2 linked regions of the Nothobranchius furzeri genome follow. Each later gene encodes a partner of the first gene's protein in a complex. Links are inferred from orthologs where the notes say so. Each region holds a gene or a part of one and is shown in the gene's direction. Other genes may lie near its edges.

Evidence for each region.
Region 2: sf3b5 (region 1) and dhx16 share a complex: the UniProt entries of both Homo sapiens proteins name them as parts of the minor spliceosome. The link is inferred for Nothobranchius furzeri from reciprocal best matches to the Homo sapiens genes SF3B5 and DHX16.

The regions. Positions count from the first base shown.
Region 1 is NC_091752.1:24,290,253-24,294,384, forward strand, and holds sf3b5 (splicing factor 3B subunit 5), read left to right. Parts: upstream 1-1,419; 5' UTR 1,420-1,532; intron 1,533-3,061; 5' UTR 3,062-3,076; coding exon 3,077-3,337; 3' UTR 3,338-3,623; downstream 3,624-4,132. UniProt on the Homo sapiens protein: Component of the 17S U2 SnRNP complex of the spliceosome, a large ribonucleoprotein complex that removes introns from transcribed pre-mRNAs.
Region 2 is NC_091745.1:60,403,072-60,407,131, forward strand, and holds the start of dhx16 (pre-mRNA-splicing factor ATP-dependent RNA helicase DHX16), read left to right. Parts: upstream 1-1,248; 5' UTR 1,249-1,466; intron 1,467-2,848; 5' UTR 2,849-2,853; coding exon 2,854-3,051; intron 3,052-3,123; coding exon 3,124-3,362; intron 3,363-3,589; coding exon 3,590-3,770; intron 3,771-3,861; coding exon 3,862-3,918; intron 3,919-3,988; coding exon 3,989-4,060. UniProt on the Homo sapiens protein: Required for pre-mRNA splicing as a component of the spliceosome. Contributes to pre-mRNA splicing after spliceosome formation and prior to the first transesterification reaction.

The DNA.
Region 1 (4,132 bases):
ATTTCACTATACTGAGAGACCATTTAAAGGCTCAGGAACCTTTACAGTTGTTTATATTTGCAATTATAATTTTGAGCTGATTGGGGTCTTGTTAAATATCACACAGTGACATTTTAATAGTCTTGATTAATGTAATGTTCCTGTTTGTAGTTCCTCCTGTTAAGTGCCCATCTGTTTCAATTATTCAGTTTGATAAAAAAAAAACATTTTGACATACATTTTATTATGTTCCAGTCATTAGTCATTTATATTTCAGTATTGTAGTAATTTATAGTAAATTAAGTAAGTTTAATCAAGAGGGGAACCCATTTTTCTTGCATTCTTTAGTGAAAAAAAAGGTAACAAAATGTTTATTTTTCTTGGTGATTAGTTACTTTTAGTTACTTTTTGGACAACGACGTGATCAGTAACTATACCTAATTACTTTTTAAAAGTAACTTTCCCAACACTGACCATTAGCATTAGCAACCCCACCACACAGCAGAAGCTCCTCCAGGCTTGTGCTATCTGTAGAGACAAAACATCCACGTTGGATAACAACAACGCGACTCTACCATAACGTGGTAGTTTGTTTGTCCCAGTGTCCCTGTGATATCTTGTGGCCTGTCCAGGGTGTACTTTGCTAATGACTGCTGGGGAAAGACTGCTCCCTTTGACCCTAGTGAGGAAAAGCAGTCAAGATCATAGGTGAGTAATTTTTAACAAATATTTCAAAACATTTCTGAACCCAAATCTAACCATATTTTCATATTTTTCTGTCCCAATCATGGTTGCCATTAGCAACAGCTGGTAGATGGAAAATTAGGGTCATAACTCTACAGGCAGCAAACATGCTCAATGCAGAACATCATCAAACACATTATCCACAGAAAAAATTTCATTATACCAGCCACAGGAGAGCCCAGTGCTAAGCAATTCTGAGCAATTTAGTCTCGATGTGGCAATTTGAAAAATTGTACTGTGATTATTTGTTTTAAGATAAATGTTTTAAAACAACATGAATACATCAGTTTTGATGAAAAGTTTATCTCACTGCACAGGTACTCTAATGATTGCTGCAGACACTTGCATATTTATATCCTTAGAAAAAGCCAATAAATACTGCAGTCTATTTATTTGGAAGAAGACCAAGTAGTACTATTTGTTTTTAGAAGCATAAGAAAAACAATGGACGTATTCCCTTGAATGGTGTGGAATGATGATAGAGGCTACACACGAATTTAAAACATAAAAAAGAAAAGATTGCAACATAGACACAACCTATTTTCAATTAACCTACAAATAAACCAAAGAAAATAATAACTGTATTTAATGTACCCAGATTTTCTAAAAAAAAAAAAAAAAAAAAACTTTCTTTGAGTGAGTAAGAAGTACACTTTGACCAATGGAGCGGAATCAGAACAGTACGACATTTGTTCCTACCCGGATCATTTCATAGGGTAACGCGCCGGCAGTGGTCGTTTGTCAGTGCCTGAACGACTCAGAATTAATTTACCTGTTTTGTTTTAGTTCTTGATCTCTGTACACATTACGTAAGTGTTTTGTTCTTTTAAAACCAATTGATGTGAAGCTGAAGCTATTATTTGCCCTCCAGGGGAGCCTAAATTTAGACTTTTATTACACGAAGACCGACTAGCTAAGCTAAGCTACTGTTAGCATAAAGAGTGGAAGATCAAACGTTGTCCAACAAAGAAAATGTGTAAATAAAGGGCAACGACCGAATATTTGGAATTGTATTTTGTTTGTTAATATGTCAATGTTGATCATTTGGATAAAACTCACATAAATAACGGCGATTAAGGATTCGAATGCAGTGGAAAAATACACTGCATGAACGAATTAGATAACTTTGCTAACATCGTTAGCCTTTCCAATATATTTGAAATGTTCGTTTGTATTTTGCTTTAAATAATAGTCTTTTTGGGATGTTTAATGTTGGAGTGGTAGTTTTTAAGCTTTAATTCTGTCTTTTTCCCTAGTTGTCACCATACATCCAGATTAAAGTAGTCACCCACACGTTGCGTTATCAGTACTTAGTCCTGGGACCTTCTAAGGTTTTGTTGTTGCGTTTGTGTTGTCTTTTCTTTTGCTAAATCAAAAGCGCATGCGATCTGCTGATTGTGTCAATAAATAGTATCAATACTGTTAAGAAGTAGCTTTTGCTGCTACGATTAGCTGCAAATACTCGTTTATTTTGTTTGTCTGACCCAAATTAAAAAGAGACTGAGCTGGAGGTTTTTTTTCTTCTTTCCACCATTGTTGGAAATCAATGTTAAAAAGTCTGAAACTTTTTAGCTGTTCTAAAAGTTAAAACATGTAGAAAAGCAGTAGTGATGCACCGATATGACATTTTTGGGCTGATACCGATATCTGATATTGAGCTCACTGTTATGGCTGATAACTGATATTTGCCGGTACAGATATGCTGACATTAAAGCTGAATTTACATTATGTACACGCAACACACACATTTATGGGTCTGAGATTATTTCATTCACTGTTCACATGACTAAACAATTACACATCACCCCCCTCACCCTCTGAAACAGGCGAACAAATGGAGACGAGATGGAAAAAATATCGGCCTGGTTTTATTTATCGAGCCGATATGTTAAAAATTGACCAACATCGGCCGATACAGATATTGATGCTGATATATTGTTCATCCCTAGAAAGCAGCATTTTAAAAAGCTTTACCTGCTCAGTATGTGCCTTATACAACATCATACAGGCTAATGTGTGTATGGAGTTCTGACACAATGTAGTAAAAACAAGTGATGCTTTTTGCATCCCAGCATGAATTACGTACAGCATGCACACATTATCTTTTTAAGAATAACAGTACATCTTCATCTGGACACTGATGAAACCCCAAGTTTATTTTAAAACTTAAAGGACTTCTTTCCCTGGTGAATCAAACAAGATTGACCTTTACAAACAACATTGTACAAGAACAACGTCTAATGAATCAGCCTAATATTCTAGAAAATGTAGAATTTTTTTATATAAATGATTTTAAAGAACATCACGGGTGATGTTTTTCTATCCTTTCCCCATCCAGAGTCTTTGAGTGAAAATGACGGACCGATACAACATCCACAGTCAGCTGGAACATCTTCAATCAAAGTACATCGGCACAGGACATGCTGATACCAGCAAGTGGGAATGGCTGGTCAACCAACATCGTGACTCATATTGCTCCTACATGGGACACTTTGACCTGCTAAACTACTTCTCCGTGGCTGAGAATGAGAGCAAGGCCCGCGTTCGCTTCAATTTGATGGAGAAGATGCTTCAGCCATGTGGGCCCCCAGCAGACAAGCCCGATGATGCTTAAATAACTCCAGAGTGAGCTTTTGTCCCTGGAAATTCTTTTTTCTACCATTAAATCCTGTTTGACCCTATCAAAAATAATTGGATCATCCATTTATAGTAGTTTTGTTTGCATATGGACAGCACTGAGGCAAAACAAATTATTTCAAGATCTCAATGTTTACAAGAACGGTAAATGTGTCTAAGTGATGCACAATTATCTGTGAAGAGATTGAAGAGATTGATGATTACAATGTGCCCATGATAAGTTTTGCTTATTCATTAAAATTTGACCTTTTTCTACAATCTTATTTATTTTACAGCCAGCTATTCATCTATTCTTTCACAACACTTTTATTTGTCATCATTTGGATTGAATGTGATTTGGGTTTATTTGAATAAACATTCATAGGTGGCAGGTAGCCTTTTGAAGCCTTTTACTCTGAAATGCTGGTGTTTTTCAGCTACACCCAATACTTTTCTGCAATATTAAGAAAAAAAAGAGAATTTAATGCAGATAATCTTTATTTTATTATAGTTGTAGCAAAATGCTTTTACTCAACTACAACAATAACTGATGCACTGTGGTTCAAATGCTGAAACTGCTTATTTGCAGTAGGAAATTTCACGGAAGAAAATTATCTGAAAAATCAGTGGGTGAAATTTAGAAAAGTCCACCAAAAGGTGGTTGAAGAAAAAAAATAACGGTGTTAAAAACAACAGAACACAGGTTTATGATGTTATTAAAAATTGCCAAAAGACTGCTTTCAAAACCAGCCGACCTGCTTTTTCAAGACAAAACTGGGAACTGCTGACACAC
Region 2 (4,060 bases), on another chromosome or scaffold:
AGGTTCATCATTTGGTTATTTTGCAAAATGTCAGGATTATTCCAGATAGGTGTGCGTCTGCATGGTACTAGTGAAGACTCTGTCATTTTTAGATACTCCCACCATGCTGTCAGAGAGGTGCTGATACTAATACTTTTGAAGCCTTCGTGTTTTCTTATGCTTGAGCTAATAAATGGTAAGTCTGAAAGTTCTATCGTATTGCAAAGTATCTGTTCTATATCTAACCAGGACTCATCTAGTGGGTTATCTTGCAACCATCTTGGTATATATTGCAGCCTGTTGGCTAAGAAATAATAATAAAAGTTGGGTAAGTCCAGTCCTCCTCTGTCTTTGGTCTTCTGAAGTGTTTTAAAGCTAATTCGTGGAGGTTTATCCTGCCAAAGGAATTTAGTAATTGAGGAGTCCAGAGATTTAAACCAGTCAGCTGGTGGTTTGTTTGGGATCATCGAGAATAAGTAATTTATTCTGGGTAAGACCATCTTTTTAATTGTAGCAACCCTCCCCATGAGTGATATCGGTAAGGATTTCCATCTTGCAAGATCATCTTTCACTTTCTTTAAAAGTGGGATGTAGTTCAGTTTGGTTAGATCTGCCAGCTTGGGAGAGAAATTAATTCCCCGGTATGTAATATTCCCTGACTCCAATTGTGTATTAAGCAAATTGACAAAAGAGAAATTAATTGGTAGAACTATGGATTTTAACCAGTTTATAGAGTAATCTGAAACTCTTGAAAAAGAGTTTATCAGTTCTATTGAATGGGAGAGAGAGGATTGAGAATTCTGGAGAAAGAGTAAAACATCATCTGCATAAAGACTGATCTTATGTTCTATTTTCTTACACTCTCTATTCTGTTGTTTGATTCTTACAAGTCACAAGTAGTTTTATATTCCTTCATAAAAAGTCAGCAATAAATATTTATTTCCTGATTTTTCAACCACTTGCTAGAGCAAATTATCCCTGATCAGCTTGAATATGCTACATTTCTGCAGAAAATAAAAATGGAGATGTTGGAATATTTTACTTTACAATTTTCAGTATTAACTAATGTTAGCTTATGGTAACTTACACTAAAATATATCCTTAATAAATGAAAGATGAGTACGAGACAGATTTTATGACACGAAGTGGTTTAATGTTCTTGTTGTAGTTCTTCCTATGACCACCGGAAGGCAGTAAGCGCCATGACCTCCTCTACTTCACTCTGTTCTTCCGCTGTTTCCATGTGACGTATTTCCGTTTTTCCCATTGCGTGTTGCAAGCTAAGCTAATAAACGCAAAAATGTGTTGAATTTGTTGACAAATAGAGCCGTAAATACATTAATATCCATGGCTATGGGCTGCCGACTGTTTCCGTTAAGTGCTCTTACAGAAAACTCTTAGATAAATGACGACGTAACTCTCAGTTTTTTTACTTTCAGGCGGATATTTTCATCCCAATAACGTTGCATGAGCGATTTTAAAAAGCGGTAAGTGAATCTAGTGTTTTATTTGTGAGAAACCGTTTTTATAATAAAGTTTTTCATAACAAAAGTCTTTATGAAACCAAAATAACACAGTGGCTGCTCAAATGAAAGGGTCAACTCGACTACTGGATAAATTAGGGAAAGATTGACTGGATAATCAAAACAAAGTAAACGTTTCATAATAGCTTTACGTAAATGGAGTTCAGGTTGGACAAGTACAACTTTGATTTTATTCATTGATCCAGATGTAAGAAAAACTTCTAAACAATTATTTAATACAAGTTGGGAGATTCAAGCTTTCTCAAAAATATCCTAAAAGCTGATCTTCTTTAGAAATCAGCTATAGGTGGTGATCAGAAACACATTCAGCTGAAGCGCTGATAATAAAAAAGGACAACTGGACATTTTCCCCTGTGCATGAACTCACCATCACTAATTCACTCCAGCTATGATTTCCTAAACTTGCACGTTTTTGCCTCCAGAATCATAATTCTGAAGTTATTAAAATAAATTATTAAAATGTTTTAGATTTATCGCACAGTGAGGGCAGGTCAGAGCTGAACAAAAATCAGACTTGGGTATCGACCCCAAAAGCAGAATCAGTGTAAACGTTTATCACGAAAAGATAAAAAAGAAAACAAACCTTTAAAGCTAAAATCACCCATTTAAATGTGTCTTTGCCCTTGTCTAGCAAGTTTATACTGACTCAGACTTGATACTGATGCCACCACAAAAACACAGAAACTCACATTTTTATGCGTTACTCTTATTTCAAAGCTGGAATCTTTGCAATGTATTATTGTTAAATGTAAAATAAGATCAGACACATAAACAATAACATAAGAGCAGCCAGCTGCTTCATTCGCTAACATCAGAATTAACTAATCAACTGTGTTGGTGCTGAGGTTCAGAATCGTTATTAATATTGATTATTTTAGTAAATATTATAATTTCATATCAGCTTTGTTACAAGTAAATTTAGTCATTTTTAAAGTTTTACAGAATCTGAGATTTTATTTGGTTTTAAATCTTCTGTCCTTCCTTCTTTCTTTAAATCTGTTCTTGGTTTGATGTAGTTTGACAGATTTGACCTTTGCCCTTGATCGATGTTAGAAAAGATGTGATGATGGTTTGGGTCGTGATGAATTCCTATTTTTCTCTCTGGTCATCTTAAAATCACATCAGCACCTCTCATATGTTTTAGCATGCGGGTCATTGTGATCTAAACCAGGTGCTGCCATGAAGGGCAGAGAGGGTTCATAAGATCTACGTTCAAATTCTGTCATAAATAATAAAAGTCTGATTTATTTAGGTCATTTTTACTCACACTCTAAACATTTGCACCACTTCACCTGAATTAAAGCCACCTGCTCCTCCCTCGGCAGGCGCCATGGCAAATTTGGAGCAGTGGGTGAACGACCGGCTGCATGACATCCTGGGGTTGAGCGATCGATACGTCCCTCAGTTCATGATCGGCCTTGCTCGGAAAGCGTCAAGCTCTGAGGACTTTGTGAGTCGCCTGGAGCAGACGGGGACCATCGACATCGATCAGACTGTGACAGCGTTCGCGAAGGAGCTTTATGAAAAGGTTTTTATAAAATAGTGCTCGCGGAACCTCGTGTAGAGGCTCGTGTGCTGATCTTTCTCTGCTGTGTTCCAGATTCCCCGTCAGCAGGCTGTCGAGAAGCCGTCCAAGGCAATAGAGCGACAGGCTATCGAAATGGAGAGGAAGAATCGGACGTACACGTTGTTGGAGGACAGTGACAGCGAGAGCGACGAAGTGGCTGCAAGGGAAAAACAGAAAGGAAAGAAGAAAAGTAAAGAGAAAGACAGAGGAAACCAGAAAAGGAACATCAGACAGAAGAAAGACTCGTCGAGTGAAGATGAAACTCTTCAAAGGTTATTTATTCGTTTATTTAGGCTGAGCAAAAACAAAGATAGTCAAGGCAACAAGGCTGGACTGAAAACGGGAGAAAAATCAGCCAAAGAGTAAAGAAAACATTTAAAAAGGTCGAAGAGCAGCTGATCCAGAACCACAGAACATTCTTCATCTCTACGATGTTTTAAATGAGGATCCAAGCTCAGGAACATGAACCTTCATCCTGGTTTGTTGTTTCTGATTTCAGGGGCGATTCTTTCCAGGAGGACCGAACGTCTGTTAAAAGAGAAGATGATGAGGAAGAGGAGTGGGAGAAGGAGGAGAGGGTACGGCTGGAGGACATCAAGGAGAGAGACGCATTTGCTCAGAGGGTGAAAGAGAAGGACAAAGAAAAGACCCGAAACATCGCCGAGCGGACGGACAAGAAGGTGGGAGGAGGAGGATGGCAGCATCCCGACCCGTTGTTTTATTTGTCATCTTCATCCGGTGGAAAATTTTCCTGCTGTGTTTCTCCTGCAGGCTTACGAAGAAGCTCAGAAGCGTCTGAAGATGGCTGAAGATGGTCAGAAGAACATGGTTGGTGCTCGTGTCCCGATCTCCTCCAGCTGCCGAGTTCACGGTGACTGTGTGACTTTTCTGCTTGCAGCTGCCAGAGTTGAGGAAACAATCTCGTCGGGAATATTTGAAGAAGAGGGAGGCTGAGAAGCTGGAAGACCTG